Macaca mulatta: one gene and its partner. The protein of the gene in region 2 interacts with the protein of the main gene of each other region in a biochemical or structural test. Links are inferred from orthologs where the notes say so. Each region holds a gene or a part of one and is shown on either strand. Other genes may lie near its edges.

Region 1 (4,031 bases), on a different chromosome or scaffold from region 2:
TCTAGGCAAGGCCTGGAGTGATCAGGGGTCTGGCCATCCAGATGCCCCTACAGCTGAAGGGGTTGGGGGTGTGGCCTTTTACTTAATCATTTTCCTCCACAACTTGCTGGCATCTGCTAACACAGAAATAGCCAAAAGCTTTCCCTAGAGGTGGGATATCCCCAGGAAGCATTACACCCACTGTTTATCAGCTGGTCTTGCCTCCTAGACCTTTAATTTGTGCCCTGACTTATCAGCTTCCAGTACTGGGCAGGCCAAACTCTGAGGGCAAAAGTATGGGCACAAGGGTTCTGTTCACTATCAAGCTGCCTGCCACCTCAGGGCCTGGACTTTTATCACAAGGAATCCTGCTAGGAATTAACCCCTTCTTCATATCCAGCATACAGCCAACTTAGGCCCCCATACTTTACCCCTCAAACCAGCACCACAACCATCCAGTTTCATTAATGCCACCCCTTTTCCTTCTGGCAACATCTTCCTAGAGTCTTCCTAGATGCTAGGTCAACTGGACAACTGCCTAAGCCTGTATTTCCTCATCAACAAAATAGTAACAGTGCTTTCTGTCTTTATCAGGGTACCCTTTGAGAATTATGTGAAAAATGGAACAAATGACTTTGCAAAGTATTAAAGATAAATAGTGTAGAACCTAATGGGAACCAGTGAAGTCTAGACTAAGATGACAGGTGATCCTGACTTGTCAAACCTAAAAACTAAACTCTACCAATCTTAAAAAATAAAGAATTTGAATCTGCCACCCTGAGTCACCATCATTACTGCTCTTCTTGCCTTCCTATCTCAGCCAACCTTGTAGAACTGGTCTACATTCCCTTTCACTATTTGCTTACCTCTCAACTTTTCTTTTTTTTTTTTTTTTTTGAGACAGTCTTGCTCTGTGGCCCAGGCTGGAGTGCAGTGGCACGATCTTGGCTCACTGCAGCCTCTGCTTCCAGGTTCAAGCGATTCTCCTGGCTTAGCCTCCCAAGTAGCTGGGATTACAGGCGCACACCACCACACCTAGCTAATTTTTGTATTTTTAGTAGAGACAGGGTTTCAATATGTTGGTCAGGCTGGTCTCGAACTCCTGACCTTGTGATCCACCCACCTCGGCCTCCCAAAGTGCTGGGATTACAGGCATGAGCCACCGCAACTGGTCTACTTTTCAATCTGCCACAAATCTGCTGTCTTGAGAGCAGAGATTATGTCAGATTCTGGACTCTAGCACCCAGCACAGAAGGTGTTCATCATAGTTTCTTAAATGAAGGAACCCAGTGTAGTCTGATTTCTTCACCCATTATTCTGAAACAATACTCACAGATCATCAAATACATCCTAACTGCACATTGAGGGGAACAACAGACGCTGGGGCCTACGAGAGTGGGGTGGATAGGAAGAGGCAGAGGATCAGGAAAAACAACTAATAGGTACTATGGCTTAATACCTGGGTGATGAAATGATCTGTACAACAAATCTCCATGACACGAGTTTATCCATATAACAAACCTGCACATGTACCCCTGAACCTAAAAAAAAAATCCCAATTGTAAATTCAATGGCTACTTTAAAATATTAATGTTCTTTGATCTCTCAGTAGCCTGAACTGCTGTTGACCACCTCCCCTTCATTAAAACATTCTCTAAGCTTTACTGACACATTTTCCTATTTCTTTTTCAACTTACAGCTGCTCCTTTTCAGTCGTGCAGGCTTCCTGTCTCCTGACCTCTTGCCTTCCACTCTCCTGAGACATTCTCCTTCACACCCATGGCTTCAAGTATCATCTATATGCTGATAGCTCTCAAATCTGTTATCTCCAAGTCAGATTCCTCTCCTGAATTGCAAATCTGCGTAACCAACAACACACTCAACATTTCTACCTTGCTGCATTGTCACCTTAACTTTAACACGTCCAAAATAGAATGCCTCATCCTCCAGTTTTCTCCATCTCAGTAAAAACAGCCACCATCTATCCAAGTTCCCAAGCCAGAACCCTGGTCCTCATCTTTGCCCTTACTCACTCCCCACCAAGTTCCACAATTCTTTGTCCTAAAGACTTCTGGAATTTGATCACTTCTCTTTTTCACTCACCCTAATTCTAGTCCAAGACATCATTACTTCTACGATGAACTAGGCAACTGCCTCCTTTCCACCTGCTCTTCACAAAGCATCCAAGATGATACTGAAAAATGGACAATCTCATTATGTCACTACATAGCTTTAAAACCTTGCTTTTAAAATAAAGACCTTCTTATAGCCTAAATATGCTTGCATGATCTGGCTGATCCTTGCAGACCTCTACAGTCTTATGTCCTGTTCTTCTCCTCTTGTACCCAATGCTCCGACCCACAGAGATCATCTATCCTCCAGCTATATGGAACTCCAGACAATTTCCTGTTCTCTCTGCTCTGTGCCTTGCCTCCTAGTCTTTGCCCATGCAGTTTACTGAGGCTGGAAAGCTCTCTGCAGCCTCTGCCTGTGAAACTCTCATTCAGCAGTCAAGATTCAGCTCAAACTGCGTCCTCTGTGAAGACCCTCTGCCCCCCACAGGCTGTGCTTAGCACTCATTACACTGGCTAGCAAAGGCAGCCGCCCCCACCAGACATGAGCACTCCACTCCACGTAGCCAAGAGATATCTAGCCTTCCTCTCATCCACCAACCGCTTCAGCTCACCCCTGGTTGAGATCGTTCTCCGTGTTGTCCAGCCACAGGCGAACGGCGACTGCGTTGCCCTCCCGGCACTGAGTGAAAATGTCGTCCATAGCAGCGTCCCGGCGCCGAGTCCCCTGGATTAGGGTAGCCTGAGGACTGTGGGGTGATCCAGGGAAGGAGGATGAATCCCAAGCTTTATCCTCCACAGGAGAGAAGTGTTTGTGTTGGGGGTAAGGGGCCTGAGCTGCGTCCCCGGCTATTGGGGGTCTGTGAAGGAGTTTGTGGCTGCGGGATGATGCCCGGCTGTGTCCTCTAGGCGCGAGGTAAAGGGGGGTCAGGGGAGGCAGGTAGTGTCTACTAAGAGGTAGTGTCTCCTGAACGGATGTCCGAGAGTAGGCAACTAGACCCTATCCGCGAATAGAGTTGGGGGAAGTGGGGAGGTTCAGGATCCGTATACGCTGGGGGAGGGGACTGGGGGTCCTCCCCAGGGTTGGCTCCGTTCCTTACTTGGAACTCAGGAGAAGTGAGGGGTGACAGGTTGGCAGGACCCCTAGTCGTGGGCAGGGGGCGCGGGTCCTCTCGCACTCACCGGGACTCGGGCTGCAGGCTCCTTCTCCGGGGAACTCCCGTCCGGCCGCGCCCGCAGCCCGACGCCGGCCCCGCCCCGCCCCTGGTGCTCTTGGGCAGCGCGGGCCTCCGTCCCTCCCCTCCCACCGCCTCCGTGCCCTTCTAGCCGCGGCTGGCTGAACTCGATGGTTCGCTGCGCTGCGCCGGCCGCTCTAGCAACCCCTGGCTGTCACGCTTTGGTTTCCGGCTCCGTTCTGGCGGGTCTGAGCGCTGCGACTCCCAGAGAAGAGCTCTGCACGTGGAGAAGATCGGGGACTCCGCGACCCTGCCCTCAGGTCCCTCATGTTCGAAGAGCCTGAGTGGGCCTCGGCGGCCCCAGTAGCCGCGGGCCTCGGGCCCGTAATCTCACGACCTCCTCCTGCGGCCGCCTTGCAAAACAAAGTGAGTGACCCTCAGAGGCGATGGGAGCTGTTTCAGGCCGCGAAGCAGACGCTGGTGGATCCCAGCGCTGTGTGTATTGCAGGGAGGGACACCTGTGGCACCGTTGAGGGCGAGTCCTGATCTAAAGATCCGAGAATTTCCAAAAGAAACTGACGTTGGGTCAGAGAGAGTTGTTGAGTAGAAGCTGGGGAAGCGAAGAGGGTTCTTCAGACAGGGAAAAGTACGTACAAGGGCCCTGGGGCAAGACAGCATGTTCTGTTAGAGTCACACACACAAGTGATCCTTGTGGTTGGAATACAGAGTAAATGAGAAGGGATGCTGTTCAAGTTCAAGAGGTAGATTAGAAGTTTTGCATATATTAGAAGCCAATGAAAGGTTT
Region 2 (3,500 bases):
TGCACTCCAGCCTGGGTGACAGAGCGAGACTCTGTCTCAAAAAAAAAAAAAAAAAAAAAAAAAAAAAAAAAAAAAAAAAAAAAGAAAATAATGTGTGGCAGTTCTCGTTTAAGCTCGTCTATCTCCCTGATACCTTACTGTGAAATGATAAAACTGGTCATAAAACAGGTTTGAAATTACTTATTGCCTTTGAAGGCAAATATATTCACTTTCAGAAACAAGATTCTGTATAATTTTAAAATGAAATAACTACGAATATGAAAAATGAAATTAGCACTTGCTTTACTTTCCCTTTTTAACTTACAATCTACATTCCACACAGTTCCCCAGGGCAGCATTTCCTCCATTCCTTACTACTCCCACATCATATGACCATGGGATAAACAATTTCTAGGCTTACACAACCTCTGAGACTTAAAGACAAATACTCTGTGATTAAAACCTCTGAACATTTAGGTAGAAATAATTTCAGACCCATATAATCAATATTATATTTAAAGTTAAGGAATTAATAAGTGTTCTGGGCATTTCATTGAGCCTTTTCAGTATGTTTTAAAATTACTCCTTAACAAAGATTAAAGCACAATTAGATAAAAACAAAATATTTATTTTAAAGGTCTTCATCCCCCCCACCCCCAAATTGAAGCCTTTTCCTTTTATGGCATGATGTTGGGTGCAGGGAATACCAGGGCCTATCCCAAGTGAAATTCCCCTGTAAAGGACTTTTATGTTGTACCAAAGAACCATTTTCCTAAGTAGCAACCCTTTTATGGTATTAATTTCCAAAGAAAAGAATTCTAAACAGAGTGGACAAAAGCAAATTTCAATGAAAATTTACCAAACTGTGTAACTATGTATAAAATTTTGGTTAGGTTCTGACTGATAATGTTAAGAAAAGACACAGCTAAAAATATACTCTTGTAAAGTTTCATTCTAAAGTTGGAAAAGCCCATTTCAACAATAGTTGGTATTATGAATTTTGTTGGGAAATGCTGGCTGCACTTTACGTCACATTTACTTAATTATATAAGGAATAAAATTAAATAAATTAAGGAATGCAAAGCATTGAGACCATATTCAATTCCCTAAAATGTCTGAAAGAACATCATCATGTTAACAGAATGATTTCTGCAAGTTGTTTAGAGTAAGTTCTCAACTATTCTGCCTCCTTATTAAAATGATAAAGATTTGTTTTAAATGACCAATTTAAACTTGACTAAAGGTTACTTTATTTCCTACAGGTTGAGTATCCATTATCCAAAATTCTTGGGACCAGAAGTGTTTTGGGTTTCAGATATTTTTGGATTTTGGAATATTTGTATTACACTTACCGGTTGAGGATCCCAAATCTGAAATCCAAAATGTGCCAATGAGCATTTGAGAGTCATGTTGGCACTCAAAAAGTTTCAGATTTTGTAGGATTTCAGAAGTTCCAATTAGGGATACTCTTATCTGTATTTTATATTCTAACCACCTGACATAATATTAAGACTAAAAAGTTTTGTTTAAGAGGGGAAAAACAAGGTTATGTATAAAATTATAAGAACAAACCAGCAGAAAACAGATGAAGTAAAATGAAGCAAGTACCTGCTTGTTCTTATACTTTTTTAGATAGCGGGGAGACACCAAACATTCAGGATTTATATCAGTCGTGATCTGCTCTGGTATTAACTGAGGATCTGGGTTTAAATGCTGCATCTTCAGAAAGGAAAGAATATTTTGAACTTCTAAGTTGTAAGAACTGTCCGCCATGGTCTTGCCTTTGGAGGCTAATCTGCAGGCTGCCATCCAATGTGCATACTGTTTTTCCTGGAGAAAAGAAATACTGATGTGTGCAGTGTATCACGAGACAGGTCTTTCAAGTATAAAATATAAGGATGACTGGTCAACTCATTTAGAAATCCAAGAAAATTGAAGTGTATTTTTAACTGAAAGACTTACATTGTCACAACGAAGCCAGATTTCATTCATGCCCTCTGCAACTGGAATCAGGAGTTTAATGTTAAATTTTTGGCCTGAAATGTTTACATCTGGGGTAACTTCACATCCTGTAACAAAAAATTTTTAATTATCAAAATGGCTAAATTTACTTTTAAGAAATCTCAAGTCAATATAAGCAGCTCTCATTTTGTGGCATCTTAACATGTTGGATTTTGCCATAGTATTTTATGAAGGCATCTGCTGCAGAAGGTAATATACACATTTGCTTGGGAAGCTGGAATGAAAATAAGCCGGGCATGGTGGCTCATGCCTGTAATCCCAGCCCTTTGGGAGGCTGAGGTGGGTGGATCACCTGAGGTCAGGAGTTTGAGACCAGCTGACCAAATGGTGAAACCATGTCTCCACTGAGTACAAAAAATGACTGAGGTCAGGAGATGGAGACCATCCTGGCTAACACACGATGAAACCCCATCTTTACTAAAACTACAAAAAACTTAGCGGGCACCTGTAGTCCCAGCTACTCGGGAGGCAGAGGCAGAATGGCGTGAACCTGGGAGGGGGAGCCTGCAGTGAGCGGAGATGCGCCACTGCACTCCAGCCTGGGCGGCAGAGCGAGACTCCGTCTCAAACAAAACAAAACAAAAACAAACAAAAAATTAGCCAGGCATGACGGTGGACACCTGTAATCCCAGCTACTTGGGAGGCTGAAGCAGGAGAATCGCTTGAACCCGGCAGGTGGAGGTTGCAGTGAGCTGAGATCGTGCCGTTGCACTCCAGCCTGGGCAACAAAAGCAAAACTGTGTCTCTTAAACAAACAAACAAACAAAAAAACAAAAACTCTATTCAGAATTTCACTTTGTAGGAGGCTTTACAGAAGGCAGTGCAGATTTACTGAACTAGGTGTTAGATGATGGCATAACAGCTGGCATAAACAAGTAGTAACAGTATAATAAATACAGCAACGTAGAGCTCTGCAGAGAGACGTGGGTTCCAGACTTTTCTTTGTCACTTATTAATAATTATGGGCCATTTAACTTATCTAAGTCTACATTTCCTGACCTTGAACTCTACCTCACAGGGATGATTTAAGGATAAATAAGATAATACACATGTCGAAGCTTCCTAAAGCTTATTCCAATTGTCTGAGAATGACATGAACAAAGCACAGTGTCATACGATCATGCAATAGGCTCGATGAGGAAAATTTTAAACTGTTAGTAGGGCTTGCCTTTTCAATTCCTCTTGGCACAGAACATAAGAAGATCATACACACTCCATATCCAGAAGAACAAATGTTAAAATTGTCATTTTCCCCCTCTACATAAATATTTTAGTATTAAATAAAAACACTTTAAATAAAGGAGAGGCCCTCTTTATTCTCCTCCCTAGCAACTCGTACCATGAATTTGGTAGATTCCCCCCTGCCCTTTGTTTTCTTTTTAAAATATTTCTACACACAAATGTCTTCTTTTATATCTCCTTTTATACAGGCTTTAGAATGATGAGAACGTGTGTGACAAACTGTTAAACGTGCAAAGTTGAAACAGTTGTTTGAAAGT

Evidence for each region. The genes of interacting proteins can lie anywhere in the genome.
Region 1: the proteins of FERMT2 (region 2) and ILK form a complex in vitro, tested with the Homo sapiens proteins (2 studies listed by BioGRID). The link is inferred for Macaca mulatta from reciprocal best matches to the Homo sapiens genes FERMT2 and ILK.

The regions. Positions count from the first base shown.
Region 1 is NC_133419.1:59,177,271-59,181,301, forward strand, and holds the start of ILK (scaffold protein ILK), read right to left. Parts: upstream 2,801-4,031; 5' UTR 2,755-2,800; coding exon 2,666-2,754; intron 2,175-2,665; exon of another isoform or gene 2,083-2,174; intron 1,521-2,082; exon of another isoform or gene 1,492-1,520; coding exon of another isoform or gene 1,439-1,491; intron 1-1,438. Other genes in the region: RRP8 (ribosomal RNA-processing protein 8), read left to right, coding at 3,554-3,652. UniProt on the Homo sapiens protein: Scaffold protein which mediates protein-protein interactions during a range of cellular events including focal adhesion assembly, cell adhesion and cell migration.
Region 2 is NC_133412.1:126,000,894-126,004,393, forward strand, and holds part of FERMT2 (fermitin family homolog 2), read right to left. Parts: intron 2,049-3,500; coding exon 1,942-2,048; intron 1,810-1,941; coding exon 1,588-1,809; intron 1-1,587. UniProt on the Homo sapiens protein: Scaffolding protein that enhances integrin activation mediated by TLN1 and/or TLN2, but activates integrins only weakly by itself. Binds to membranes enriched in phosphoinositides.